Notamacropus eugenii: one gene and its partners. The protein of the gene in region 2 interacts with the protein of the main gene of each other region in a biochemical or structural test. Links are inferred from orthologs where the notes say so. Each region holds a gene or a part of one and is shown on either strand. Other genes may lie near its edges.

Region 1 (6,768 bases), on a different chromosome or scaffold from region 2:
CTCCCTTCCCTCATCCCCATCTTCTCTTTTGTCCTGTAGGGCCAGATAACTTTCTATACCCCATTACCTGTATTTCTTATTTCCTAGTGGCAAGAACAGTACTCGACAGTTGTTCCTAAATCTTTGAGTTTCAACTTCTCTTCATCCCTCCCTCCCCACTCATTCCCTTTGGGAAGGCAGGCAGTTCAATATAGGCCATATCTGTGTAGTTTTGCAAATGACTTCCATAATAGTCGTGTTGTGTAAGACTAACTATATTTCCCTCCATCCTATCCTGCCCCCCATTGCTTCTATTCTCTCTTTTGATCCTGTCCCTCCCCAAGTGTTGACTTCAAATTGCTCCCTCCTCCCCATGCCCTCCCTTCCATCATCCCCCCCACCCTGCTTATCCCCTTCTCTGCTACTTTCCTATATTGTAAGATAGGTTTTCATACCAAAGTGAGTCCTGCACCCTCTTTGAACTTGTCTCCAGAAATGGAACTGGAAGTACTTGTTTCTGTTCTGTGTTGTTTGTCCTGTTTCAGGTGCTGGAGGTGATCTCCATTAGCCTGGGGTGTTTGAGTGACCTTTTGTCCAGGATTGGACTGGCTAGTGTAGCCAGCTGGACTAGCTCCAGAGAAGCCAGAGTGTCTGGCTACCCCCAGGGTTATTAATCTTGGGGTTGGGGGATGGGGAAGAGGCCCTCTACTCTACTGGAATTGAGCTAAGCTATAAACCTAATCTTCCCCTCTATAGAGACTGAGGTCATATAAGGAGGTCCACGAATTGGGGGAATAAATTTGTGATTATACTTTCTGAAGTAAATATTGCTTTGTCAAAGCTAATTTGACTCTCTGGGGGTTAAACAGAACTAGAGTACAAGGGAACACCATCAATGGAAGCTGGAGCCATTGCAGAGAACCTAAACCCCAAATCCCCATAAGTACCGGAGAACCGTGGGGGAAGAGCGAAATCTCACCTACCTGGACTTGACAGTGGGAGCGAGGGTAGTCAGTGTTACATCTGTATTTACTGTAACATCTGTAATGATTACTACTCACGCTTTTTTGTTTTCGTTCAGCTGAAGCATAATAGATTTTTGCTCCATCTCATTTTAACTGTAAATCTTTGGTTTTGTGACCCATGTTCCATAGAATCCCAACATATTTTGGGATTCTGTTTTTCAAGTAATTTTTTACATGATTCTCTAAGTATATCATCATATCTGCAAAGAGAGATAGCTTTGTTTCTTCTTTGCCTACTCTAATTCCTTCAATTTCTTTTTGTCTTATTGCTAAAGCTAACATTTCTAGTACCGTGTTGAATAACGAGTGATAATGGACATCCTTGTTTCATCCCTGGGATTGTTTTTCAAATCCATTCTTATAACTTTCATTTTACAATTTCTTCACATTCACAGTAAGGATTACTGTGAACCCCTATCCTGTCCTCTTTCTCCTCTCTTTACTTCCACTTTTTTAAAACCAGGAAAGTGCCTTCCCTCCTACTCACATGCTTCAGAATGAAGCTGGAGAAAATCATAATCCTGCTGACTGGGTCCACTACCAATTTAAACCTCACTGCTGCTAAACAAGACTATACACTTACACTCCTTCTAATTAACTTACTGTCCTACTCATCATGTAACAGCTCTTCCAAATCTTTTTATTCCTCCTCAAACTTCCCATAGCAACCCCTCTCCCCACCCTTCCTGCTGAGAACCTTGCCTTAATGTTAAAAAAAATTGAGGCCATTTGCCAAGAGCTCTTCTCCCCTCCCCCTCATCTTGCATCAGTCAAATGTTTTCCCACACTATACCATTACTGTCTCTCATGAAGTGGCCCTTCTTACCAAGGCACATTCTTCTACACACATTAGTGATCCTATCCCTTCCCATCTTCTCTAGCAGATTATCTGCCTCATTATCCCCACTCACTTATCTCTCCATCTACTGACTGCTACTCTGGTCTACAAACATGCCTCTCTCTGTCCCCTCTAGTTTTCCACCCCCCCCCCCCCCAAAAAAAACCCTTCATTTGATTGACCTAGCCATCCCCATTAACAATCATCCTGTCTTGTGGATAAATTCCTTGAGAAAGTGATCTGTCATTGATTCTTCCACTCCTTTCCTCTTACTCTTTTCTTACCTCTGTAGTCTGGTTTCTGACCTCACTATTTAACTGGAACTTCTCTCCCCCAAATTATCAGAGATCTCTTAACGACCAAATCTTAAAGCCTTTTTCTCAATCCTCAACCTTCTTGACCTCTCTGCACCCTCTAATATACAAACATATCAATGAGTACTATCCCAGACTTGAGTTAGGCCTTAGTGCTCCATTGAAATGAAATTAACTCATGAATGTCCTGTTTTACTAGGCAGACTGGTTCTTTCTTTGGGGCATTACTAGTCTTATAAACTGGTTTTGTATTGCCTACAGCACCTGGTATGGTACATTGAACATTGTAGACATTTAATTAAAGATACAACTTTATGTTTGTTGATTTCTACATCTATAACACTACTCTCAGATCGAGATAGATGGAGTGAATCCCATTCCTCTTTCCATTTTAGGTGCTAGGCTGAGAGTGGGGGTGTAGTGTAGAGGGGAAGCTGAAAAAGGATGATTTTGTCTTCTACCTTCTTCATCCTCTGCAGCTTCAGCTTTGCCTTGCTGTCTAGGTGCTTTGTCCTCCCCTCCTGTCCTACAAAGTTTAAATTCCTGAGATTAGAAGCTGAGAAGAGATGATAGAGGAGATACGGGATGGGGGCCTTAAACAGGTTTTCCATCCTCCCTCTACGCTCAAGCCCTTCAGTCAAGAAAACCAACATAAAAATTTGCTTCAAAGCTCTCATTTTGTCAAGTTTTTCTGAGAGCTCCAGTTAGAACTAGTTCAGTCTGGTACATGGCACAGGTACTCTGGGGGAGGCCTCAACCCCTCATGCTAGAACTGGGCAGGGAGTTGGGGCGGGGTTGAGGGGGGAAAGAGGTTTGTGCTTCATCAGCATAGCACCAAAGGTCACCTCAAGATCATGATTTCAGCTCAGATTTTCATCTTGTATAAATACAGTTATTTGGCTTCACAATCTCCTGGGGATGGGGGTGGACTAGAGGTAGGAGACCCTAGGAGAAGGAGGGTAGTACAATTTTCAAACCCGGTCTCCAGTGAAGCACACAAATGTTTTATTCCAGTTCTGACTCAGAGGCAGAACACTTCTTGGCCCGGAGAAGAGATGGGAAACCCCATCACCAAGATAAGAGTCAAAGAAGGGGCTTGTAGAACTGCAGACTGTGGGATTTTAAGGAAGGGGAAGCCATCTCTTGGACACAAGAAGATTAGGCCTCATATAGACTTCCCTAATGGGAAATGGGAAGAAGTATATTGGGGGTGGGGGTGGAGAAAGTTGAGATATAATTCCTGTCTCAACTCAAACACCCTAAACAGGGAAGGAAAAGGATTTAATAATATGGGAGCAAGGTGTAGAAGTTGCAGAAAGGCAACTTCATAATGAAATTCCTAATAATCCTAAAGTCTAAGATTTTTGAGTGAAGAGGAGTGAAAAAAGTAGTGGACTTGTAGCCAGGAAGACTTGGGTCTGAAAGACAGGTCTGACACTAGCTATGTAACCCCGGACAAGTCATTGAATCCCTTTGAGCCTTGGTTTCCTCATCTGTAAAATGAGGGAGGTGGAATATGTTGCTGTAGCCCTGTCATACAAATGGTAAATGGCAGGGAGGGGTTTGACCCTAGCGTCAGCAGCTCCAAGTCCCAGCGTTGTACGAAAGTGGAATTACAAGACAATTAACTTCTCCACTGTTACTTACAAGGATAGATCACCCATCTGGAGCTATGCCACTGGAGTCCAACCCCCTCCAAGTGGCAGACCCGTAATTCAAACCCAGGTCTCCTTGGACTCCAAATTCAGGATCCTGCGGACCCCATCAAGCTGAAGAAGAATGCTTTGACTTTCCTTTCAGCTGTGGGTGGGACGGGATGACCTTGGAAATCTTTGTTCCCACTCTTGGAACCTGGGTGTTCCCGTGCCCAAGTCCGAGGAATCCAGCCCTGCGGCCAGATCTGCACCGCCCCACTCTCCCACGCCTGCACTCCCCGTAGCGCTCCCGGGAAAGGAGCCGCGGGCATTACTTGGGTTACTCAAGCAATTAGTGGCTGGCGTCTCGGGTTCCAGGGACCAGGAAGGGGCGTGTGCGTTTGGAGCGCTGGGGAGGGTCCGGCACCTGGTCCCTTGGTTTCCTTAATCTCGCAGCTAGTCCCCGGGGATTAACTGATAAAAACTGGATACTATTCCGGCGGCTGAGGAGAGGCCTGCGGGAGGGGCACCGGCGTCCGGTCCTTCCGAACCAAGCGGAGAACACAAACGCTGAACCCGCAACGGCGTCCTGTCCTCCTACTCTTCTCAGCCTTTTTTACCTTAGCGGCAGCCTCTTTAAGAAGAGGCCAGGGCCGTGCCATGAGTGGCCCCCAGGGAGCCTGCCGTATACGTCACAAAACCAGAGACCCTGCTCATCTCTCCCATTGGTCCTCGGCAAGATATTTGACCCCACCGCCTCCTCCATCTTTTAGGCAGTTGAGTTTAGCCCGGCAGACCAAGGGGGGGGAGGTGGCGGCGCCCATTGGGTGGCTGGGTCGGGGGGCGGGGCCAGACCTTAAAGGGCCCCCAACCAAAGAAGAACGAAGACTACTAGGTAAGGAAAGAACGCGATGGCCCGGAGGATGAGAGAACATGTGCCCACTCTCCCCACCTGCCCCCGCCCCGCCTTCACGGCTAAGGACGCTGGCGGGGGGAGGGGAGGGAATGCATCGCTCCTCCACAAACTTTTTCCCTTCTCTCGCCGCCCCCTTACAGACCCGTCTATGGAGCCCAAACGAAATCATCCGCTGTTCGGGGGAGCCTTCTCCATCACCCTTCCTCCAGGGGCTCTGGACGTGAGGTCAGAGGTCACTGCCGGGTGTGGGGGGGTACGGGAGCCTGCGGGACAGCGGGGGGGCAGGTTATCGTGCTCATACTCGGCCTCTGCCCCTCAGTGATTTCCGGCCGGTACCGGACAACCAGGAAGTTTTCTGCCACCGCGGGACGGAGCAGAGTCTCATCGTGGAGCTCCTGGAGCTGCAGGCGCACGTGCAAGGAGAAGCAGCAGCGCGGTGAGCTCCTCCGCCGGGGGCGGGGGCATTTTTCTAGCCAATGGGAAAGTGCTATGAATTCCAGTGGAGGAGGAGGCGTGGCCTACGGGCCTCCTCTGCAGGGAGGGTGTGTCTGAAATTGTCACGCTCTCCCCCCCTTTCTTCTCGCCCTCCCCATCTAGGTACCACTTCGAGGCTCTGGGAGGGGTGCAAGGGACAGGGAGCGAGCAAGTCGAGGCTGTGGAGCCTCTCTCCCCCCACGCTCTGTCTCTTCGGGGCTGCCGGGAAGCCTGGGTCCTCTGTGGACGGCAGCGTGTGGTCAAGGAGAGCGAGGAGGTGAGGGCTTTGGGGTTGGCTAGGGAGAGTGGTCTGCGGGAGGAGGAGGGGGATGTCGAAGAAGACCCTGCGGGAAGCCCAGCCAGGGGCTGGAATGGGTGGTGGAAGGAAGAGCGGGAGTGGAGTTCAGAGGAAAGGGCTTCGAAGCCAGGGAAAAGGAGGGATGACCTTCGGGGTCCCGGCAGCTCCGACACTGGCTGATTGCACAATAATCTGAGCTGATTCTGCTGCCCACAGAATGAAAAGGATGTGATCTTACACCTGGCCTTGTTCCGATTGCCCCAATATGGGACTGACCTCCTGCTGACTTTCAATGAGCCGAGGTAAATGGAGCGTCTGGGCTGGATGACTGGGTCACTGATGGGGGATTGGGGAAGAGGGGAAGGCTGGGGGAATTCTTGCTGGTGGAGGAGCTGAAAGGAGGAGGAGGTGTGGGGTGTGGGAGTGGCAGGGGAAAATGCCTGTTTGCTGTGGAGGAAGAAATCGGAGCCCTGTGTAATCCTTTTATTCTCTTCCCCAGCTCTGGGAGTAGGCCACCCCAAGGCCATGAAGCCCAATGCCTCCCACCCTGGACCCTGGTTGACTTTGAAAGACTAGTGTCTTCCCTGACTCTCCTTGACCCCAGCATCTTTGGCCCACGGGAAAGATCCTGAACTGCCCTCTGCTGCTGGTGTCTGAATGTCTGGATTCCCCAACAGAAGCAAGGGATTGATGGTTGGGGTTTCCCTCATATCCCCTGTTCCACAGACAGACATAAGGCGCCACCTTTGCAGAAATAAACTTGCTTTATACCAATACAATCTCTGTGGCTTTGGTGGAGGGGAGATGGAGGAAGCATTTATACAATTTGAATCTAGAGGCAGGGATGAAAATAGGTCCCTCCAGTTCCCTTTGGTTTTGGGGGAGGAGATTTAAAGCTATGCATGGGAACTGGAAGCTAGCAGTCTGGGCAAGAAGAAAATATCCCTTTGATTGATTCAACCCTGAGAGTAAGGGTAAGTAAGTAAGTAAGCTGTGTATGATGGCAGGAGTGATGATGATTGGATGGGAGTGCCCCACATAGTGATTTGACCCTGAGAAAAAGGGTGTGAGGAGTTGGAGTGAATAAGTGATTATCAGTCATTAACACCTAAAAGTATGAAAGGGTCCAAGAAATATCAGATCAAGGGGGAGAAAGGTAATCCTTCCTAAATGGAGTGTGTTGAGGGAAAATTTGGAGTTGAGTAGTGGTCACTGATTGTATTTCTGGTAAAAGAATCGAAGCTGATCCCAGAAGAAGAGAGAGAGGATGGTATGGGGGCCAAGTCGGAA
Region 2 (7,970 bases):
TTATTTCACAGAATACCAGAATTTCCAAAGTGGAAGGGACCTCAGTATCCATCTGGTGTAACCCATACCTGAAAAAAAAAAATCCCTTTTAGATAAAATGGACTATGTTTTTAAAACCTGTATAAACAAAATGAATATAATTACAATTAGAAAGGAAACAACTAAATGGGCAAAAATCTTAGCGGCAAGTTTCTCTAATAAAGATTTTATATTCAAAATATTTAAGGATCTGATTTAAAAATCTATGTATATACAAGAACTATTCCCCAACAGGTATTAGGATAAAAACAGGCAGTTCCCAAAGGAAGAAATCCAAGCAATCAACAACCATAATAAAAAAAAAAACAACCCTTCAAAATCACTCATAATAAAAGAAATACAAATGAAAACAGTTCTGAAGTTCTATCTCACATCCATCAAATTTTAAAAAAGATTGAAAAGATGATAGACTTAAAAAGACAAAAAAAAAAAAAGAAAATGGCAGATTTTGGAGGAGATGTAGAAAAACATGCTGAATCATCTGTTGTTGGTATAGCTGCAAATTGTTCAGCCATTCTGGAAAACAATTTAGCACTATCCCTATAAAGTTACTAAACCATTTTTTTACTCTTTGACTTATGATATCACTATTGGCCTATATTCCAAAAATGTCAAAGGAAGTAAGAAAAGACCCATATATTAAAAGAAATACTAATAGTAGCTTGATTTGTTCTAGTGAAGAACGGAAACTGAAGGAATGCCATCCACTGTATAATGGCTCAATAAATAATGGTATTTGAATGTAATAGAATGTTATTCTGTCATAAGAGGTAATGAAATGAAAGGTTTCAGAGAAACTTGAGAAAAAAAAAACCACAAACTTGTATAAATGGATTCAGAGTGAAGTGAGTAGAACCTAAAGAACAATTTGCTCAATGACCACAACAATGTAAAGTAGAACACACCTTCAGGGATCACTAACCCAACTTCCACGTAAGCAGGCTGGAAACCCAGAGGACAGTTGATTATCTTTCATTCCATGGTTCTAGGGGTAATTCTGAGGTATTAGGGATTTTTCTAGTACTATTTCTCTTGAGCCCCCATCAGTGTACTCCCCATTGCTTAACCAGTTAGTATCAATTAGCAAGTCAGAGTTAATTAACTTTTTAGTTAGGGGTACTATATTTACTAAAGCTGTATAGTAATAATAATTGGCCAAAAACCCCAAAACATTCCCCCCAAAAGACTGGGATATATTCACCCACAACTATATATAGCATCTAGGGGAAATTAGGTTAAACTTTAGAAAATATATATGGCAAAGGGGTAATTCACAGTTCCTTGATAGATGGAAGTCCTTTCTTTCCCTTCCTGGAGTCCTTCTGCAGTTCACTTGAGGTGTGCTCTGAACTCTGAGGGTTGGGGTCCTTTTAGAGTCCATTCGTAGCAGGGCTTCATGTCTGAGCCTGTTGTGTTTGTCTCAGCTCAGGGACCATTAGTTACAGAAGTGAGTGCAAAGGATTGTTGTTATGCTAAGTTCAGAGTACAACTTGCTTGCTGGGCTTTAGCTCTGCAGAACGTGACATCTCCTTATATCTTGATATAAGGAAATTTTTTTCTGATATCAAACCTAAACATCATTCTTGACTTCTCCAGGATCTACTTCTGACTCTTCTGACATCCTCAACCATGCCATGGTAGCCTTCTCACCCTAGAAATTCTCTCTGCCTCTTCTTCTGATTGGTCAACTCCTCCCCAATCCTCTATTTTAAGGAGAGTGCCCAGGCCAGTCAGGTTGTCCTTCTTTTCTGGGCTCCACCCTTGACTCTCTGGACTTTCTCCATCATGCCTAGACCCTGGTACCTTCTCAGCTTCTTTCTATACATTGTTATTGCCTTCCTTCAGGGCAGGAACTATCTTTCCTAATGCTGGTATTTGTATTTCCTGCACTAAGCATAGTATATGTTTGTTTAAAGCCAATTCTTTCTTATATAGTGGATTGAACTACAATAGGTCCCTGTCCAATCTCCACTTAATGACTGTTTTTTGGACCCTCCTGGGTGAGAGGGTCCTCCTAGAGTGAGTCTCAGTGGTAAGTGTTGCTCTTTGGAACAGCAACCCTGAGGGCCTTACCCTCCCAGCTTGACTTTTTTTTATTTTTCTAATTAAAGGGGCCTTCCCTTGACTACTTAAAGAAGCCTATTCACTGAATGGGCATTACCTCACTCTAAGGGAGTACCAAAAAAAGCCTTAGCCTAAAAGGGCAAGCCAGGGTCTCCCTTTGCATCCTGGGCCATCTCCAGTCATCCTGATGAATATCAGGTCACTGGATCCAGATGGCTTATGGGGAGAAAGTGTGACCTTGCACAGCCCTCCTGCACTCAAGTCAAAGTCAACTACAAGTCATGTCATCATTTTCCTGATGTCATGGTCCTCTTTGAAAATGAAGGACAAGTACAGCAACAACTAAGCATAGTGCCTAGGACATAGTAGGAGTTTAATAAATGTTTGTTGATTTCAGTTTGCAACTTTTACCCAATGCTTTTAGTTCTACCTTCTAGGCATGCAGAACCCCGTCTTCCCTGTGTCAGCCCTTCAGATATTTGAAGACAGATACCATGTCTCCTCAGGATTCTCTTATTTAAGCTAAACATACATGCTTGTACAAATAATATTCTCCAGTCCAGATTTTAATTTAGCTTCATGTCCAAAGCATTTGTATTTCCTTGTTACCTCTCAGAATTTCTGGCTTCTTTCAAGGCTCAATTTGTGTCATTTCCTAGAGGAAATCTTCCCTGATGCCCCTGATCATTAGTGTTCTATCAATCTCAAAAAAATCATGTGTGTATATACTTAATAAGTCCCCACTCTGCCTCTTGTAAATTCCTTGAGGGAAATGGATTGGGTTTTGTTTTCTCTTTTTAATCCCACCATTTAGCATGATATTTTAGACATAATGGACACTTAAAAATATTTCTTGGAGTAGACTGGATTGTTGGATTTGCCCATGGAGGAGGGGCAGCACCCTCTCCCAGAATTTCTATCTATGGCTATCTGGCCATTGAACAAGTTCAAAATAGAATGACTACTTGTTGGGAATGTTGTTTCTCTGGTCAATTACAAGTTCCTCTACCAGTGTATTCCAGATTCTCTAGACTTTTTACTGTGCATCAGCCACCTTCTCAGCCTTGAAGTTTCACTAGAGTCAGTGGCTTCCTCACTCTGGAACATCCCTTTGTGCTAAGACCCTCTTTTCTCATTGGGGAGTTCCTTTTGAAACCTCCGTTTTGGGAAAGTGTCCAGGCCAGTCATCCTTCCAGCCTCTCCCAGCTCTACTGGCTCTCCAGACTTTACCACCATTCCTTTAACTCCCAAAACTTTTGTCTTGCCACTGGACTTTGGTGACTCTAGAAGAGAGTGCTAATGCTGCAACTTCAGTTCTCAGATTCAATTCACACACAAGTGAAGACATCACCCTGTGATATTAGTCCTCTTGCAAAACAAGGACAAGCAACAACCACCATCTCCCTGAGCATATACTTTATCCCTCCCCCTCCTTTTTAGGCTGATTTTATTTTTTATCTTCCCCCACTATAATGTGAGTTCTCTGAGAGTAGGAACCTTCAGCTTCACTTTATATGCCTAGCACTAACAGGGTCCCGCACATATTAAGGACATAATAAAAGGTGCTTGATTGACTGATTTGTTTTGACAAGATGTCTTGAAGGTTCCATGAGAGGAAGACTGGTATGATAACAGCTAATATTTATATAATGCCTTCAGGCTTGCAAAGTGTTTTACATGTATTTTACATTTGAGCCTTACCACAACCTTGTGTTTATAATCTTATATCCAATTTGTAAATAAGGAAATTGAGACTCAGAGAATGACAGTGGAAAGAATTGGACCATTCATCCATCATGAATTCAAATCTCAATTTGATACTTTTTCTTATCTGTAAAAGTGATAATATTTAGGCTATTTTACAGGGTTGTTCAGCGAAAAGTGTTTTGTAAACCTTAGTGTTATATAAATGGAAATCATTATTGTATAGAATGTGACCTCTTTGTGGTCAGCAACTGTCAGTTTTTAGTTTTGTATGTCCAGGACTTAGCACAGTATCTTACAAAGAGTCCAGGCAGCTAGGTGGCACAGTAGATAGAGGACTTGAGCCCTTTCTGAGTCAGGAGGACCTGAGTTCAAATATGACCTCAGACACTTAGTAGCTGTGAGACCCTAGCCAAGTCACTTAACCCTCATTGCCTCAAAAAAAGAGATTTTTTAAAAAAAACCTGCTCTGTGCCAAGCGTCTCATCCGATCCTCACAACAAGCCTTGGAGGAGTCTGAGGCAGACAGAGACAGGTTAAGGGGCTGGCCCAGAGTCACACAGCCCGGTGTTTGAAGCCACACTTGAACGCAGCTCTGGGTCCCCAGGATCCACCCTCTGCACCCCTAGCTGCCTGGATTTCTTCCAGCGCTAGGGCTGACCCTCATGGCTGGAGGGGCAGAGGATTCACCCATCCAGACCCTCTCCCTCCCCGTCAGACCCTTTACGCAGCCCCGAACGTGCCCGTGTCCAGCATGGTTAGGATGGGAGTCACTGCAGCTGGACCTGGGCTGGCTGGGTGGCTCAGCCCCGGATGAGCGCATCAGCATTCATCTCCAGCACGTGCACCCTCCCCGCTCTCCATCTACCGGGGGTGAGCCATCCCGGGGCCCAAGCCGGACTGGGCGAAGCTCCTTGGGGGAAGGCGGCTTGGCTCCTCGGAGGACTGCCGAGCCTTTAAATCCCTTGGAGGAGAACCAGCGAGGGTCATCGAGGCGGGCGTGGGGGGCAGCGGGAAGGAGGCCGGGCGAGCCTCCCTGACTCAGTTTCCCCTTCCGTGACGCGAGGGCGCCGTGCCCTCCACACAGGCCGCGCTCCATCAAGGCTTGGGCACGACCTCGCTGTTAGCGAAGGCCGAACCAGAGGGTGCGGATGTTGTCAGCAATAACACCGCGGCGCGTAGGGGGCGCTCTGCGAAGCGCTTCGCCCCGTCTGACGCCCACGGTTAGCTTTATTCTGGTTAGTGCTTTGCGTCTCGGCTTTTGCGGTTTCCTGGAAGGTTCAAGCTCGGACCCTAAAGCCCGGCAGACATCGGGCCTGACGCAGGAGAGGCCCTCGCGTCTCCCGTTGGCGGGAGCCCACCTCCCTCCAGAGGCGGTTGGGGCGCGCGCTCCCAGCAGGTCCTTTGGGGCGCATGCGCACGAGCCGGCTGCGCGCCGAGGCGGGGGCGAGAGCGCGGTGAAAGGTAGGTGGGGCCGGGAAAGAAGGAACTAGAGCTCGAGCGCGCTCCCGCGGCTGCCTCAGCAGGGCCTGGGGGGGCCGCGTGCGCATGCGCACACGCCAACCGGGAGCCGAGGTGGGACCGAGGCCAAGCGCCAGAGCGCGGTAAAGGTAAGGTAAGACGGCATGGATAAATCTCTCCACCGCGGTCTCGCGGTCTCGCGGCATGGATAAATCTCTGCCAGGCTTTTGAGAAGCGCATGCGCAGGGGGGGGAAAGCATGAAGGCGAGAGCGCGGTAAAAGCTTAGCTGGGCGGGGGTAGAAGGGATTAGAGGAGTGGGGAGCGTTCTCGTTTGAGGTGGCGCATGCGCCATAGTCCGCCGCAGCGCTCCCGATTGCATTGTAAAGCCCAAACGTCGGCGCGCCCCCGGTCTGTCAGTCCGTTTCTCTCTTCCCGCCCCCGTCCCCTAGGCCCCGCCCTCTCTCCCTTTTTTGGGGACAGCCGGTAACGTAACGTCGACTTGGGCGCGCGGCGCCCGGAGCACGTGGGGGCACGTTGCGCCGTTGCCCCGCCCCCCTCCGCTCCCCTCGGCCCCTCCCTATTCCGCGCGCGCGGCGGCGTCGGCTGCGTCTCCGGGTATTTGAATCGCGCTTCCGCCATCTTTCCATCGTTCAGTCAGGCGGAGACGGAGACGCTTCTGGAAGGTAGCGGCGGAGTGGGGCGCGGGGGGTTGGCCCGGGCTGGGGAAGGGGGGCCGGGCGGGCGGGTGTTGGACAGGAAGGCATCGAGGACCGACGCTGAGAAGGAGGCGGCGGGCCGGGCTCCCCGTCTCTCCTCCTAGGGGGGTGGGCGGCCGCGGCGGACCGGGCCGGGCTTGGCGCGCTTTGTGTGAGGAGGCCCCGGCCGCCAGGCCGTGCGGAGGCCGCGGATCGTGAGGCAGCCGGGGAAGGGGCGGGAGAGGCTGCGAATGCGGTGCGGGTGCGGTGGGGGGGGCGGCCTAGCCTTCCCTCCCCGCTCCTCCAGCCACTCCCGCCCCTCCCGCCGCGGGCCCCATGACCAGGCGGTTTTCCCGGGCCCGGTCCGGCCTCCACCGCCCCTTTTTGGCGTCTCCTGGAGACGCCCTTCGGGCCCTGACGGTTGAATGAACCCGAGGCTCGGGGGAAAAAAAAGGGCCGCCGCCATTAGCGCCTCATTCATCCCCCTCCTCCTCGCCGTCGGCGCCCCACGCGGGCGGGGGGAGGAGCCGCGGCCTGGGCCGGGGATGAATGGGCCGAGCAGGGGCGCGGAGGGGGCGCTTTGTGGGGCCGCGGGGCACGTGGCGGGGAGGGGGAGCCCGAGCATGCGGCCTCGGGTCCGAGGGCCTGACGCGCTTGTGTCTCTCCCCCAGAACCATCGCGATGGCCGCCCAAGGAGAACCCCAAGTGCAGTTCAAAGTACGTAACTCCTGGGGGGGGCCGAGATCGCCGAGGTGGGGGCTGGGGCGGCTCTTGAGGACACAGGAAAGACCGTTGGATCCCAAGGCCTTGTGATGAGAAGCAGAGTTTGCACGCCCGTATCCCAGCTTACATAACAGGCCTTGAAATAATCTTTATAAATTGATTACCTCCTAAACTGTAGTAAGGCTTTTTCATCCAACAAGGAACTAGTTAGTATTTGCCAAATGAATGTTCCAAAAAAGTATTTAGATGATTTAGTTGATACATAAAACAGTTAAATGTAACCTGAAAACGGTCTGATACTTGATTACTTAAACTGTGGTAGCTCTCTGAATCCACCATAGTATGTGGAAATGGATGTTAAGACATTTAGATGGTATTGTTTGATACATGGAATGGAGAATGTTTGTGTGTGTTTTTGAGAAGTCCACCTAAAATATTTTATTTTTCAACAGCTTGTATTAGTTGGAGATGGAGGTACTGGAAAAACCACATTTGTGAAACGTCACTTGACTGGTGAATTTGAGAAGAAATATGTAGGTATGTATCTTTTTTACAAGTTAGTTGCACCAATTTCAATAAAATAAAATCAGTGAACTAAGTCAAAACCTTTTGCTGTTCCAGCCACCCTGGGTGTTGAGGTCCATCCTCTCGTGTTCCATACTAACAGAGGTCCTATTAAATTCAACGTATGGGATACAGCTGGCCAAGAGAAATTTGGTGGTCTGAGAGATGGTTATTACATCCAAGGTATGTATACAACTGTTTTGCATGTTGTTATATCAGCTGTATGTTGCCAGAAGTTTTTTTCAGATATGTGTATGTATAAACATTTTTACAAGTGACTTCTGGTCTTTGGGGAGCTCCTGTGTTTAATAGAGGACTGAGATTTGAATCTCAGCTGGTCTGCTTGGATATACCAAATCCAAGATGTTTGATGATAGGTAAAATGAAAAGGGTTCAGCTGAAGTTCCTTTCCTTAAGATCTAAAATGGCTATGACCTTATTAAAACAGCAGAAAGGAACCTCCATATATTTTGTCTGAGGTATTAAAGTTGTAGCATAATATTTCATTGGTTAGTCATGTAACATTTAACCAAGTTGTTTCTAATAGGTAAACTTTTATATTTGAATTTTTGAAAGGTACCATGTCAGTGTGCATAGTTGTAAAAATCTTTACACTTTGAAAATAAACTAAATATATAACAGTAAGTGTTGGAGCAAAAATTATAGGACTTAGAACTTGAAATTGGATTTCTCTCAAGCTTACACTGAAGTCTAGAGTG
Region 3 (7,558 bases), on a different chromosome or scaffold from region 2:
GAAGGGTGGAGGGACAAGAGGAAGGGGGAATAAGTATTAGATGCTTCTCGGGACCTGGGTCCCAACTCTGCCTTTATCACTACACAGAAAGGGACTGTCTCTGATCAACTCCAAAGTCAAGTTCCCCACATAGGGCTCCCCGGAGCCCGCCTCCCCGCCCACGGCTCTAAGGATGGGTTCCAAACGGCGATCTCTTTAAATCTCTTTAAATGGTCATCACAAGTCCTGATCATACCAGCTGGTATGACAAATGCACAGAACCGTGGGGGCCCCAGACACCCCAGGCCCCTGCCTCAAGAAGGTGTTTGGGTCAAGTACAGTAATGTCAGAGTCAGGATAAGAGGCCACAAGTGAGGCGCCCGAGCTCATTCCGTCTGAAGTCCAGGACGGCGGATGCCGGGCCAGGAGTCCAACAGCACAGCAAGAGGAAGAGGATGGGTCCCGTCCAGGAGTGGCAGGGGTGAGCCCTACCCCGGCAGGCGGGCCGTGACTCGGGAGTCTGGTCCAGGGGGCAGGCAGGACACGGGGGCCTTCCTCACATGCCGTGCTTCTTTCGGATAACGGCCATGGCCAGCAGCCGGTCCTTCTCGCGGAGCTCCTCCCGAAGCTTGGCCTCGGTGAGCCGCAGGTGGCGGATGCTGCCTTTCATCTCCTTCATCTTCACCTCCATCAGGGCCAGGATGTCTCGCTGCTCGTTCAGCTTCCGCAGCAGCTCTTCCTCCGTGGTGCCCGAGGACAGAGAATAGGAGTGGTCCGAGCCCGTGTCCGGGAAGCCCTCCTCGCCCACCACCACCAGCCTGGGCCCCGAGGCGGCCGCGGGAGCCGCGGGTACGCCGAGCTCTGGGGCGGGGGCCCCCTCGGCCGAGGCGAACTCCACCTGCACCGTCAGGTCGATGGGCTTCACGTCGTCCCCGGCCGGGGGCTGCGGGGGCGCGGCGGGGGCGGCGGGGCCGCTCTCCACGGCCGCCTGCAGGGTGAGCAGCACTGCGGCCGAGGCGGACACCAGGGACGCCTGCGAGGGGGCCGGAAGCGCGGCCGGCGGCGGCTGCGGCTGGGGCTGGGCCGGCTGCTGCTGCTGCTGCAGCTGCTGCTGCTGCTGCTGCCTCCGTCGGGCGGCCGCCCCCGCCGCCCCGCCGCCCCCGGGCCGCCGGGCCTTGCGCTCGTTGACGCCGCGCAGCGGGAAGATGGTGGGGACGCGCACCGTGTAAGTTTTGCGGCCGCCCTGGAAGTGGACGCTGCACAGGCGGTGGCCGGCCGTGGGCTGGAAGGTGGAGAAGCAGCCGCTGACGCCGGCCCGCGACACGTTCTTGAGCCACTGGCGCCGCAGCTCCGCGTCCTTGGGGAAGGTGTAGAAGTGCAGCGCCTTGTCCCGATGCGAGTTGTTGTAGCAGCCCGGCACGCAGCACGTGAAGCCCGGCATCGCGGCGGCCCCGGCCCTCCGACGGCCCCGGCCTCGGGCCTCGGCCGCCGCCCTGGCCGCCGCCGAAGCGCTCGGCCCGGAAAGCTCGGAGGGCCTCGGCCGAGACCCCGGCCTCGGGCTCCGCCTCGGGGCCCGGCCTCACCCCCGGGTCCGGGCCTCGGGACCCCGGGACAACCCACCGACGGGCGAGGCCTCGCCGCTGGCCCGGACCCCTACGCCCCCCACCGGCCGGGCGTCGGCGTCTCGCCCCGCCCCGAGTGGAGCCGGGCCTCTCCTAGCCTCGCTCGCTCTCCTGGGGACGCTCCCCGACGGCCCCCGCGCCGTCCACCCGCCCGCCGGCAGTCCCCGCAGCCACCAGAGCCTGTCAGTCAGTCAGTCAGTCCCGGGGCCGAGACGAAGAAGCGCCCTGGAGGTCGGACTACGCCTCCCACAATGCACCGCGTCGCGCGCTTCCGCCGTTGGCCGCATTGCTTCCGGGGTCAAAGCTGGAGGTGAGGTCAGAATGATTCGGCACTCGCCCGGGAAAAACTATCCGACTGGTGTTCCACCGGGGCGAAGCTCCAGCTCTGGCGGGCGGAACAAGAGATGTTTCTGGACGGATGAACTTAGAGTTCCTTGCGGAACGCCTTACTCCAATTGGAGAACTGCTTTTCCCACAATGCACAGCTTCCCGCGCGCCCCGCCCTCCAGTTCAGGGCGGGGGACTACAACTCTCGGCGGCCAGTGCGCGCGGCTGCGACCCCGCCTCTGCTCTGGGGAGCGCATCTTTTCGTCAACAAGCCCACGCCTCGAGGTGGCGGGCCAGTGTCCCGCCGGGGGCTGGGCGGGAATGATTCCTCGACCCAGTCCTTCCCGGGTCTTTCGCCCGCCCTCTCCCCCATCTGCAGGACTTGGAAACCATCCTGGGCCAAGTGAGGCCCAGAGGGCAGAGGCGACTCGCACTCACCCGGCCAACAAGTGACCAGCAGTTCTTAAGTCCCTGCTGCGTGCCAGACCCTGGGCCGGTCCTGCCTTGTGGTCCAGGGCCCCGCCCCCTGTCCTCGTCCATCTTCCTGCCCTTTCCCATCACTCTCCGCCCCACCCAGCTGTGGCTCCCCAAAATCATCGGGCTGTGTCTTCTGCCCCCCCCCCTCCCGGCCCATTTACCTCTTTTCTCATGGATCGTTTCAAGAGACCCTGGGGTAGGGTCGGAGGGGCGTTGGAGCCTCGGGCTGGTCAGCGTGCTAAGCCCCGAGCCTTGGCTGAATGTCCACCCTCGCCCAGAGGGAGCTTCGGTCTGGTCAGCGTGGGGAGATGGAGATGGCTACAACGCACACGCCCCGCTACAATGGTTACAAAGTAGCAGAGTCCGGGAGGACCGAGGCCGCTGGGCACGGAGTGCCCCCAGACCAGCCCTGCTCAGATGAAGACCCGTCTATCTGAACCCAAAGATAGCGAGGATACAGGGCACGGTTCCGCAGGACCAAGACCAGGTGCCGCTTGGGTCAGCCCAGCCCCTGGCTCCAGGAGACTTCCAGTCCTCCGCTCCCTATAGGAGACCCATTAGGTACTTGTGGCTGGTCTGGTTCTTTGAATTCAGTAGGAGGCTTGATTTGCGATTTTTGAAAACTGTGAGGGAGCTTAGATTTTAATTGGTGTACTGCCGTATTGACAGCTAGCTAAAAGGGGCCAGGAGAATGGGGAAGAGTTAAAGACTCATGAGATTTTCATCCAACTCTCTGTGATCTGAACACTGTGGTCTTCATTCATTCATTCATTCATTCATTCATTCATTCATTCGTTTTGGGTTTTTTTTTTAACAGTATGGAATTGCTCCTACCCCCACCAGACTGGGGCATTTGATCTTCCTTCTTCATTAAAGGACCCTTCTCCTTTGGATTCAGGCAGTCAGGTCCATACAAGATTCATTTCTGGGGTAACCCAGCCTCTAATAAGAGGATTTAGACTCTCATTTTTATTTATTTCATTAAGTATTTCTCCATTTCTTGTAAAAAAATTTAACAATTTTTAAAATTTTGAGTTCCAAATTCTCTCCTTTCTTACCCTCTTCTACCCTTTGAGAAGTCAAGCAATATCTCAAGTATACATGTGAAGCATGCAAAACACTTCCACATTAGACAAGTTTCAAAAGAAAACACACACACATGAAACCCAAGAAAAATTTTTAAAAGTATGCTTAAATTTGCACTCAGAGTTCATCAGTTCTCTCTCTGAAAATGGATGGTATTTGTAATCATGGATCTTTGGGTACCATCTTGGATCATTGTCCTGATCAGTGGCTCTCTTTTTTTAAATTAATTTTTAGTTTTCAACATTCAGTTTTGTAAGATTTTTCCGTTCTAAATTTTCTTCTTCCCTTCTCTCCTCCCCCAGACAGCATGCAATCTGATATAGGCTATACATGTACAATTATATCAAGCATATTTCCACATTAGTCACGTTGTGAAAGAAGAATCAAAACAAAAGGAAAAACCAAAAAAAAAGAGAGAAAATGGTATGCTTTGATCTGCGTTGGGGCTCTACAGTTCTTTCCCTGGATGTGGATAGCATTTTCCATCATGAGTCTTTTGAAATTGTTTTAGATCATTGCATTGTGACAAGAGCTAAATCTATCCAAGCCAGTCATTGTACAATGTTGCTGTTACTGAGTACAATGTTCTCCTCGTTCCGTTCATTTCACTCAGCATCACTTCATGTAAGTCCAGGTTTTTCTGAAGTCAGCCTGCTCATCATTTCTTATGAAACAATAATATTCCATTATCTTCACATACTACAACTTGTTCAGCCATTCATCAGTTGGTGGGCATCCTCTCAATTTCTTTTTTTTTTTTTTGAGGGGGGAAAGCAAGGCAATTGGGGTTAGGTGACTTGATCAAGGTCACACAGCTAGTAATTGTCAAGTGTCTGAGGCCAGATTTGAACTCAGGTTTTCCTGACTCCAGGACCAGTGCTGTATTCACTGTGCCACCCAGCTGCCCCTCAATTTCCAATTCTTTGCCACACAAAAAGAGCTGCTAGAAATATTTTTCTACTTGTGGGTCCTTTTCCCATTTTTATGATCTCTTTGGGATACAGACCTAGTAGTGGCATTGCTGGATCAAAGAGTATGAGCAGTTTTATAGCCCTTTGGGCATAGTTCCAAATTTCTCTCCAGAATGGTTAGATCAGTTCACAATTCCACCAACAATGCATTAGTATTCCAGTTTTCCCATTCTCCAACGTGTATCATTTTCCCATTTTGTCATGTTAGAGGCTGTCCTTTATAAAAACATTTTTTCTATTAAAATTATTTTTCCCTTCCTTCTTCCCAATTAAAAAAGAAAACCAAGTCCCTTGTAACAAAAATGTGTAGTCAAACAAAACAATTTGCCACATTGACTATATTTTAAAATGTATGCCTCATTCTGCATGTTGAGTTCATCACCTTTCATTCAGGAGGTGAATAGCGGTGGTTCTTCACTGATCCTTCCCAGTTAGAGTTGGTCATTGCATTGATTAGAGGACTCAAATCTTTCAAAGTTATTTGCCTTATAGTGTCATATGTTGTATAAATTGTTCTCCAGGTTCTGCTCATTTCCCTGTGGATCACTTTGCACAAATCTTCACAGGTGAAACTGCCTTTTATAATTTTTCCAACAATGGTATTATTAGGCTTTTTCTCACACTAGTAATCCAGAGAAAACTTGCTTTGGTGCCCGTCTATGATCTATTCAAGGTAGGGAGCAGAAAAAGTATTTCATTTACAATGTAAATCAGATATGGGACAGATTTATTTCAAATCAAAACACAACTGGAAATGTACATGTAGAACCCATATAAGACTGCATGTCGTCCTGGGGAGGGGATTTATGGAAGTGATTGTTGAAAACTGAAAACAAATTAATAAATTTGGGGAAAAAAACCCACTGGAACTGGAAGGGAAGCTTTTTCACAGGCGATGAAAAATTTACATGTTAGTTAAGCCAACAGTCATTTATTACATGTTTCACATTAAATTACATCAACAATCATTTCTTGTTTAATATGTGTCAGTAACATGATTGTTATCTAAATGGTTGTAAAGTGGAGAGATAGATAGCACAGATTCTCCAAAGATACAAACAGAAAACAAAATAAAATTTAAACCAATTACCTGAACTCAAGAAGCTCAGAGACTAATGAGTTCTGGGAATGATACTCTGAATTGTCAGGATAATTTTCATTTTAAGTGTTTCACAAAGCACCCCTCCTAAGTTCATCATGAAAATGGTTATTCACAGAGACAGAAAATTATATAGTCACAAGAAATGGGAAGCAGAGCCTGTGCCTGGTTTGGTCCCAGCCCCTCAAGATTCAGAAAAGAATCTAATGCAATTTTAAAAGAATTTTGATGAATCCGGTAGAGTCTTTGGGACCATCTCTGTCAGCCCTTCCAGAATGTTTAGAAGAGACTCCTTTAAGATATACGGTTTATTTTTTTTCCCCAAGTGTGTTGTTTATATTCTAAACCCAAAGTTAAGACCAATTCCTACATCTCCCATAATACAAATTGTTTTTCCACCCCACCACACAATTGCTCTGCATATTACATCTCATTGTGCATGCAACTTTCTTAATTTCTCCACCCTTAAAAATCCTCTTTTCCACCAATTAGTACTTTGTACTTCCCAAATAAAAGGCTCTGTGGGGACTGGAAGAAAAATTAGGAATCTTATACATATCACCTTCAGAGTGATTTCACTGGTTCCAGAAGTTGCTGCTGCTGTTGCTATTGGAGCCACAGAAACCAGGAATGTTCCTTAACCAGCCCTTGGAAATCATCTGTTCCCATTGGTCAAAGAGGTGAAGGGATCTACCTGCCCAGTGTCAAACAGTTAACTAAAACCCTGGTGGTCCCCAGATTCTTTCTCCAGCACACAACAGCATCCCCCCCTCTCCCCCAGCCAACTGAAGAAAATCAAATTCATTGGAGGGCTAGAAACTGTTTAATCAGTTAATTAACATTCAAACATAACTCTCAGAAGTCCCTAATCCCAAAGCATAGCAGAGAGTGACTGGACAATTTACCTCAAGTATTTTCATCTCAGAATTTACTCAATTTTTCTCAAAGGAGGTGGGCAGTGAGGTACAGTGAAAAGCTGTCCAAAAGAGGTCTTGGATTCAAACTGTGCCCCTGATGTTACCTGTGTGACCTTAGAACTTTTTGAGTCAGTTTCTTCAACTGCAAAATGAGGAGGATTTAACTAAATGGCATCTGAGATTCCAACTGAAGTCTTATCCAGCTTATTCTTCCCTGATTAACCCATTTAGTTCTCCTGGCTCACATACTCTGGATCATCCTTTCCTCCATCTATTTACATATCTTCTCCGTTGCCAAGTCATCACCCTGATTCAGGACCTCATTACCTCTCACCTGGACTCTTGTCATTGTCTCCTAATTGCACCTTTCAGGCTGTCTCCAAACATTCCATTCTTCACTCTGATGCCGGAACAATCTTCCAGAACTACAAGTCTGACCACATCTCTTCCCAGTTCAGAAACCTCAGTGTCTCCCCATTACCTTGAAGATAAGATATGAACTCTTCAGTTTGTCATTTAAAGTCCTCACAATCTGCTTCCAACTTACTGTGGAAAGCAGACATATATGCTCCTTGTCTCCCTTTCAATAAAATTAAAGTATTTTAAAATGATAAATTTTATATGTTTAAATTATAAACTTTATAAGTGTTTAAGAATTAACCACTTAGTTAAGAAACTGGCAATGTTCCTGGCAATGGATTAAGGTATCTCAATGGAAAATGCCTCAGTCTAGTTAAGATCCATTGCCTAGCCCCATACTCTGAAAGGAATAGGGCAATGAGAGAACTAAGTGGTCCATAGTAAGTAAAGTTCTGGACCTGGAGTCAGAAAGACCTGAGGTTGAACCCTGCCTCCATCAACTACTAGAAGTGTGATCCTGAGTAAGTCATTAGCCCCTCTTGACTCAGTTTCCTCATCTGTAAAATGGGTATAATAATAGCAGCTACCTCACAGTTGTGAGAATCAGCTGATATAATGTGTGTAAACCTTAAAACTATAGATTACTGTAAGCTATTGTTATTATCAGACTGAAGTCTCTTGAATTCACCTTAGACCAGATGGAAAGGAGAAACTTTGAAG
Region 4 (7,742 bases), on a different chromosome or scaffold from region 2:
TCTACCACACTTACCTTTGCGCCTTGGGGAAGACTGATCCGGTTTCGTTGTGCACTTGAATGATTCTTGAAATACTTGACCTACCTATACAAAGAGCTTCTGCAGTATCTGTAACAGTCATTGAAGCATGCTCTTTAAGAGCTATAACTTCTACATGTTTCACTGGAGAAATAGCCATTTTTAAAACCACAAGATATAAGGTGGGGTCAGCCTTGGGTCAATAAAAGCATATATGTATGACCACTTGATCCCAAGTAACATCACAAGCTGCTGAGACATGTTTTAAAATCCTGTTCTTACCTAAAAAAATTAAAAAAAAACAAACATGTTTTACAACCCCAATAATACACACCAATAACCAGCAATAATTATGTTAAATTCAAGTTGTTCCCTGCATGGTTTGTCTCCTCAGTCACAGTCCAAAGACCCTGAGAAGGTTTAGGAATATGCAGGTGCAGACACAAGGCCCGGCTTGATATCCAACGTTGTGGAATGGGACTGTACGTCTTAGGGCAAGGGCCCTACGCTCCCTTTCGCCACCTGGACAGAGCCTGGGGAGTGATCCTCAGGATATCCACGTTGGAATGGATGACTTAAGACAAGTGACAAGTGACAAGCTCCGAGCAGGAAAAAAATAAGAATCACTCACCTATTGTCAAGAAGAAACACTCCACGCTAAGACAATACTGAAAAAAAGAGAAAGAATAATTTAGTCCTATCCCAACATCAAACTATGTAACAATACTCTGGGACAGTGCTGTTTCCTGCATGGTTTGTCTCCTCAGTCACAGTTCAAAGACTCTGAGAAGGTTTAGGAATATGCAGGTGCAGACACAAGGCCCAGCTTGATATCCAACGTTGTGGAATGGGACTTTATGTCACAGGGCAAGAGCCCTACACTCCCTCCCGCCACACAGACAGCCTGGAGAGGTTCATCTCTCCAGGGTATCCACGTTGGATATTGAAAGATATTAAAAAAGGAACATCAAACTAAAACTTGACACATGATCCGACGTAGAGGATTCAACTCCAGATGATGCTAAGTTACCAATTACAATTTATGGGAAAGTGCTATGACTCCAATGTCTAGTTAACTAATACGTTTTCCACAGGTTGACTGAAAAATATCAGCTTCTACAGGCAATGTTTTAAATACCTCCCAAAGATAACAATGAAATTATTAATAGCGCCACATCTTTAAGAAAATGTCAACTCACCCCAGCTGTTTTCCAGACTTGTCTGTTATGAAAACCCTAAAGAGCAAGAGGAAAGAGATTTTCAAAGCAAGAAAGAACAAAAAAAATATCCTATCTAGGTTCAGCGTGCAAGTTACTGAAGCAATAACAGTTGTTTCCTGCATGGTTTGTCTCCTCAGTCACAGTCCAAAGACTCTGAGAAGGTTTAGGAATATGCAGGTGCAGACACAAGGCCCGGCTTGATATCCAACGTTGTGGAATGGGACTGTACGTCTTAGGGCAAGGGCCCTACGCTCCCTTTCGCCACCTGGACAGAGCCTGGGCTCATCTAGCCAGGATATCCACGTTGGATATTCAAGGGAGATTTAACTGACTCAACAAAAATTGAAACGACCCACTGAATTTTGTACATATAGCCTTGTCAATCAGTTATTTCCTACAAACATAGGTCATTCCCTTAAGCATGCCCAAAGATCCCACCCATGGCAGAAGGGCTCCAAGACAAACTTTTCTTTGTAGAGATATGGAAATGATTTCCACAACACTTGGCCCCTCCAAGAGGATTCGGAGTAGAAATTTTTTTACAAGATTCCTCTAAATACTGAGTCAAATCCTATCTGAAGGTTAGTTGTACTGAGTCCAGCCACTGTAAACCGTTACTTTTACACTGCCAGGTGCCCCCCCCCTTCTTTCCTTACATAAAGATTACACATTTGATCAAGCCACTCCCCTGATCAATAAACTTCAGTCTCTGTGAAGAGGTCTCTCCTGGCACTTTAAGCTCTTTCAGTTACTCCATCCCACTCTAACACATTCCATTACAGCCACCCGTACTTAACTGCTCCCTATAGGGGGTACTACATCCCCACGTGGCTGTGGTTTTCACACATGGCTCCCATTCCCCAGCATGGGCTCAGCACCCAGCGACTTCTGAAGCCTATCAGAGGCGCGGTGCCCACCTTCTCCACCGGTGTAACAGCTTCTACGCCATTCCTTTCCGCCCCTTTCCTCCCCACTGCAGCCTGGCGACTAAGGAAGCTCCCTGAGGGCTGGGATCACGTCTTCCACCGCCTGTTTACGTATTACTTTAGTGCTTCCCCCCAATCTGCGGCATATTACTACCCCCTAACAAAGACGTGGACACTGAGGTTAAGAGACCAGCTGGATGCCCCCGGGTGCCTCCCACTCTTCAGCCGTGAACCACTGGGGGGAGGAATCAATCCCCAGTCACTACGCACGCTAGCACGCGTTACTAAGGGGCCTTTACTGAACGAACTGAAACAAGTCTTTCCTGGAGAAGGAATAAACATTAAACACCTCCTGCGTACCAGGGAGGTACCGCAGACTTTACAAACGTTATCTCACATTTGATATTCTGAGGTCGGATTAGAACTCGGTCCTGCCCAGCTTCGGGCCCCTTGCACCGGCCGGCCCCCTGCTGCTGGGCAGCCGCCGGCCCGGCCGGGGGTGACGGCGGATGGGGCTCGAGGGCCCCGGGGAGCGGGTGGGATGGGGACCCAGGCATGAGCGGGAGGCTCTGCGCACGCGCCTTGGCGGCGGCCGCATGGCGGCCAAACTTTTCCTGCAGCTAAAAAGGGAAGGAGAAAAAAGGGGATCCGAAAGAGAAAGCCGGAGCCAGGGGGCAGGGGGCAGGGGGCAGGGGGCAGGGGGCAGGGGGCAGGCATGCGGAGAGACCAGGGTAGAGGCTGACAGAGCCACACCCTTACTTACCTCTACGACTGACAAAACAACTCCACCGTCACCGCCGAAAGAGAGAAGCACCCCCTGAGCACGCCCATTTATACCCGGATTGGGGCGCGCAGCGGCTTCTGAGCAGGCGCACATTTTGGCGTCGCACCGCGAGAGTTCGAAGTAGCTTGGGGCGGAAGTGACGAAAGAAATGGCGACAGTCGCACGACAGGATCGAGAAATCTCGCGAGATATCTGTCCGTGAGCTCCTTCGGTTGGGCTTTTTTTTTTTTTTTTAAGTTTGTTTCCCAGGTGCGCCTTGCGGCGGGGAGCCAAAGTGGTTTGGCTACATTGTAGCTCAGGCGCCTACCTTGTGCTGAGTGGAGGAAAATGAAGGTTACTCTTTTCCTTAGAGCCCTGACTTTCAGTTCATTTAAGAAAGCATTTATTAAGTGCCAACTGTGCTGTAAGAGCAGAGAGGAAAATAAAAGAATCCTTGTACTCAAGGATTATTAATTCAGGTCCACACCTCCTCGTGCAAGCATGGATTAGCTTCCATTTAATTGCCCCTCTTAAGCTTGCCAAGGGCTTTACAGGTATCTCCTTTGATCCTCGGGAACCCTGAGTGGGAGGGGCTGTTACTATCCCCATTTTACCGATGGGGAAACTCAGACAGATGTAAATTAACTTGCCCAGGGTCGCAGGATCTGAGCTCGAGGCTCCTGGAACTTTAAAGTCAGGGACTCTATTATAAACGAATGAATGAAAAAAACATTTATTTAGCTCTTCCTGTGTGCAAAAAAGTGTACCATGGGCTGGAGATATAAATAGAAAAGAGCTTACATCTGAAAGAAGATAAGATATATAATGCATCAATAAACATGTATTAAGTGCCTTCTGTGGACCCTATACTGTGCCAAGAATTTGAGATACAAAAGGTGGCAAAATTCAGTCTCTGTCCTGAAGGAGTTCAGAATCTAAAGGGGGAGACAATGGGCAAATACATCCAAAGTAAGTTGTATACAGCATAAATAGGAGATAATTAACAGAAAGAAGGCATTGGAATTAAAAGGGGTTGGGGAAGACTTCCTGTAGGAGATGGGATTTTAGTCCTGACTTAAAGGAAGCCAGGCAGGTCAGTAGTTGGAGCTGAGAAGGGAGAGCATTCCAGGCATAGGGGACAACCAGAGAATATGGAGAGGTGGAATATCTTGTTGTAGCAATAGCCAGGAAGCCAATGTCACTGGATAGAAGAGGACATGTCAGGGAGTAAGGGATAAAGAAGATGGAAAGGTAAGAGAAGGCGAGATTATGAAGGGTTTCAAGTGGCAAATAGAATTTTGTATTTGATCCTGGAGGCAATAGGGAGCCAGTGGAGTTTATAGTTATAGAGTAAGGTGGGGGGGGGGGGGATAGGATCTGTGTTTTAAGACAATCGCTTTAGTGTTTGATGATGAGAACCTGCATCAGAATGGCGGCAGTGTCAGAAGAAAGAAAGGAGCATATTGGAGAGATGGTGCAAAGGTGAAATCTACAGGTCTTGACCATAACTTGGATACGGGGAGTAAGAGATAGTAAAGGTATTGATAATGTTTAATATAAAATTTTGGAATAATCTCTTTGTTCTCTCTGAAGCAAACTCAGAGAATGCCTCTTCCTATGTCAGCAAAAGCCAGCCAAAGCTGACTCTGCACTCCTTGGGAGACCTTTAACCTATGACATATATTGAATAATGGGACTTCCCTTTATATCTTATTATCTATAGACACATACGATGTTATGACATATCTTGAATAATGGACACATACTATGTTATGGGATATTAATGGTAAAGAAAAAATAGGCATCCTGGGTTTCTATTGAACATTGTTTGCCCTTTCCTGTGTCAGTTACCTGTTTGGGGCAGGAAGCCTGCCACTTACTAGTGGTGGGATTTCCTTACCACCTGGGACATATGTTTACCCAGCTTGGAATCTCAAGACCTGACTGACATTGCTTTGTTAATTGTCCTGTCTTACTGAATTTATGATTTGCTTAATTAGGAGAGTTTCTTTCTCATGGCAAAATGTACTTAAGACAGATAATTTCTGTACTAGGTAGTCAGAGTCACCTCTGAGTCCATAGCGCTATGTAACTGTTTTCTTTATGGGGAATTGATCAATTAATTAATTAAATCATAAAATGTATGCATTTAGCCATGTTGCCTTTTCTTAACAAAGTTTTCAGGTCAACAGTATACAAGAGGACTTCTAGGTTGGGAGCCTGAGGAGAATGCTGTTGCCCTCTACAATAACCGAGAAGGTAGCAAGGAAGAAGGGATTAGGGGGATAGATCATGAGTTCTGTTTTGGAGATATTGAGTTTAAGATGTCTCCTGGACACCCAGTTTGAGATGTCTGAAAGGCAGTTGGAAAGGTGAGATTGGAGATCAGCAGAGAAGATGGAGTAGGAAAAGTAGATTTGAGAATCATCAACATAGAGATGATTATTAAATCCATGGCAGCTGATGAGATCACCAGGTGAAGTAGTATAGAAGGAGAAGAGAAGAGAGCTCAGGACGGAGCCCTGTGGGACACCTATGGGCATGATTTGGAAGAGGATCCAGGAAGAAAAGACAGTGGTTAGTAAGGTAGGAGGGGAACCAGGAGAGAGTGGTACCTCAAAATCCTAGAGAGAAGTGAGTATGAAGGAGGAGAGGGTGATCAACAGAAAAGCCACAGAGAGGGAAAGGAAAATGAGAATTGAGAAAAGGCTTTGGCAACTAAGAGGTCATTGTTGTTGTCTGTTAGTAACTTTGTAGACAGCAGTTTTGGTGGAATGATAAGGTCAGACTCCAGATCTTAAGATCTGAAGAAGAGGGTGAGGAAAGAAAGTGGAGGTAGCTATTGGAGATAGCTTTTGTGAGGAGGTTAGCTGTTATTTGTCCTTCATTCTCGAAAGGGGACCATGACATCAGAGAGGTGACATGCAAGTGAGTTGGATTTAACTGAGGGAGGACTGTGCAAAGTCACCAGCCTGACTTTCTTCTCCAGAGTCATCTGGGTCCAGTGGCAAGATACAGATCAGGATGACTGGAAATGGCCCTGGATGCAGTGGGAGACCTTGTCCTTTTTAAGCTAAGGTCTTTAACAGGTCTCAGTTTGATGGAAAAAATGCACAATAAGTGATTAAGGCTAGGTAAGAAATGAACCAGAGAATAAAAAATGAATCAATCTGGGAGGGAAAGGCCCTCAGAGTTTCTGGCCAAAACAGAAACAATTACTATTTACATTCACTCTGAATCAATCAGGGCTCAAATAATGACCAAGTGAGGCTTGGCCTGGGACTATTGTTGGCCAATCAATGAGTGCCAGAGTGATTTGGGTTTAGGCGTGGTCCTTAATGAAAAAAAATCTAGACCATAAGCCCCAAAACAGCCTGCAAGGTTTCAGTGATCAAAATTTACATTCCTTTGGTCAGAGCACTAGCAGGCAAGGGTATGATACCCTTTGTGGACAGTGGGAAGAGAAGGGAAGGGAAAGGAGAGAGAGAGAGGTGAAAGAAGGAAGGAAGGAAGGAAGGAAGGAAGGAAGGAAGGAAGGAAGGAAGGAAGGAAGGAAGGAAGGAAGAGTTATGTTGCCCAACTGGCCAGTTCCAGTTGGGTCTCTAGTCAGCAGCTCCTACTACTACTCACAGAGGTTGTTATTTGTCCTTTGTTCTTGAAGAGGACCATGACATCAGGAAAGTGATACCATAACATGCAAGTGAATTGGATTTAAGTGAGGGAGGACAGTGCAAAGTCACCAGTCTCACTTTCTTTTTCAGAGCTATTTGGGTCCAGTGGCAAGATATAGATCAGAAGGACTAGAGATGACCCTGGGAGCTGTGGTTGTTTGGTATGGCAATGAATAATTAAATCAATTTGGGTAGTATAATTTTTATTACACTGGCATGAGTAATAAATATGTACCTATACTTAGTTAGGTCTATTTAATTTTTGTCACCTTTAACAATTGTTGGAGAGGCTACAATTAAAAAAACACACAGATTCACAACTAGTGCACTCTGGAAAACAACCTAGAACTATGCCCCACCAAAGTCACTAAACTTAGGGTATTTGAGGGAGAATCAATCTATATGTTGAGTATGAGGGCAAGAGTTGGGGAGGAGAGAAAAACTGTAATGCAGTTATTAAACTCATTGGGGGAGGAAGGGGAGTGACTTGAGATCTGTAGACAACAGCTTACCAGAATTTTTACTGGGTGGCAGATATGGATAACATGAACCCCAAGGAACAGAGGTTACTAAGTGATGAAGGAAGGGGGAAAACTAGGAAGTAGCAATGGGGAGGAGTATTCCAAACTCCCCACCACAACTAAAGAGAATTAATGAAAGTACAGCCAGTGATATAAAGGGTGGCCAGGGATCCTATGTGATCAGAGGTGCTGACCTCAAAACTTTGTTAGAGAAAAGGCAACAGGCTAAATGCATACATTTTATGATTTAATTAATTAATCAATTCCCCATAAAGAAAACGGTAACATAGCACTATGGAGCCAGGATCAGAACTGGCTGACTTAGTACAGAAATTGACTGTCTTAAGTATATTTTGCCATGAGGAAGGAGTTCTCTTAGATAAACACATTGTAAACAAAGTGTCGTCAGTTGAGTTTTATGATCCCAAGCTATGGGCATCTTCTTTCCATAGCATGTCTCTGTGATTTAAGATAAGGAAAAAGTCCCATCACCGGGATAACAGATATCCTCTCCTAAACAGGCCTTTGAAGTTGTTTATCTTAACAAAGTTTGACAAAGCTGAAGTCACACCCCAAGGTATTTGTGTTTTTCTCTTAACACTAGGATGCTAGAAGAAGGGTCT

What was found.
Region 1: the proteins of RAN (region 2) and RANGRF form a complex in vitro, tested with the Homo sapiens proteins (2 studies listed by BioGRID). The link is inferred for Notamacropus eugenii from reciprocal best matches to the Homo sapiens genes RAN and RANGRF.
Region 3: the proteins of RAN (region 2) and NUTF2 form a complex in vitro, tested with the Homo sapiens proteins (3 studies listed by BioGRID, with this or other methods). The link is inferred for Notamacropus eugenii from reciprocal best matches to the Homo sapiens genes RAN and NUTF2.
Region 4: the proteins of RAN (region 2) and RCC1 form a complex in vitro, tested with the Homo sapiens proteins (6 studies listed by BioGRID and IntAct, with this or other methods). The link is inferred for Notamacropus eugenii from reciprocal best matches to the Homo sapiens genes RAN and RCC1.

The regions. Positions count from the first base shown.
Region 1 is NC_092873.1:77,545,373-77,552,140, reverse strand, and holds RANGRF (ran guanine nucleotide release factor), read left to right. Parts: upstream 1-4,566; 5' UTR 4,567-4,685; intron 4,686-4,846; 5' UTR 4,847-4,854; coding exon 4,855-4,931; intron 4,932-5,025; coding exon 5,026-5,142; intron 5,143-5,303; coding exon 5,304-5,457; intron 5,458-5,694; coding exon 5,695-5,780; intron 5,781-5,977; coding exon 5,978-6,110; 3' UTR 6,111-6,252; downstream 6,253-6,768. Other genes in the region: SLC25A35 (solute carrier family 25 member 35), read right to left, coding at 6,688-6,768. UniProt on the Homo sapiens protein: May regulate the intracellular trafficking of RAN. Promotes guanine nucleotide release from RAN and inhibits binding of new GTP by preventing the binding of the RAN guanine nucleotide exchange factor RCC1.
Region 2 is NC_092875.1:46,255,106-46,263,075, forward strand, and holds the start of RAN (GTP-binding nuclear protein Ran), read left to right. Parts: upstream 1-4,968; 5' UTR 4,969-5,045; intron 5,046-5,186; exon of another isoform or gene 5,187-5,952; intron 5,953-5,970; exon of another isoform or gene 5,971-6,136; intron 6,137-6,635; 5' UTR 6,636-6,645; coding exon 6,646-6,681; intron 6,682-7,139; coding exon 7,140-7,224; intron 7,225-7,308; coding exon 7,309-7,434; intron 7,435-7,970. UniProt on the Homo sapiens protein: GTPase involved in nucleocytoplasmic transport, participating both to the import and the export from the nucleus of proteins and RNAs. Switches between a cytoplasmic GDP- and a nuclear GTP-bound state by nucleotide exchange and GTP hydrolysis.
Region 3 is NC_092872.1:696,159,851-696,167,408, reverse strand, and holds the start of NUTF2 (nuclear transport factor 2), read right to left. Parts: upstream 3,003-7,558; 5' UTR 2,567-3,002; intron 1,557-2,566; exon of another isoform or gene 1,421-1,556; coding exon of another isoform or gene 536-1,420; exon of another isoform or gene 1-535. Other genes in the region: THAP11 (THAP domain-containing protein 11), read right to left, coding at 536-1,420. UniProt on the Homo sapiens protein: Mediates the import of GDP-bound RAN from the cytoplasm into the nucleus which is essential for the function of RAN in cargo receptor-mediated nucleocytoplasmic transport.
Region 4 is NC_092876.1:69,629,698-69,637,439, reverse strand, and holds the start of RCC1 (regulator of chromosome condensation), read right to left. Parts: upstream 3,005-7,742; 5' UTR 2,928-3,004; intron 2,608-2,927; exon of another isoform or gene 2,562-2,607; intron 1,547-2,561; exon of another isoform or gene 1,254-1,546; 5' UTR 1,218-1,253; intron 959-1,217; exon of another isoform or gene 756-958; intron 687-755; 5' UTR 650-686; intron 584-649; exon of another isoform or gene 383-583; intron 1-382. UniProt on the Homo sapiens protein: Guanine-nucleotide releasing factor that promotes the exchange of Ran-bound GDP by GTP, and thereby plays an important role in RAN-mediated functions in nuclear import and mitosis.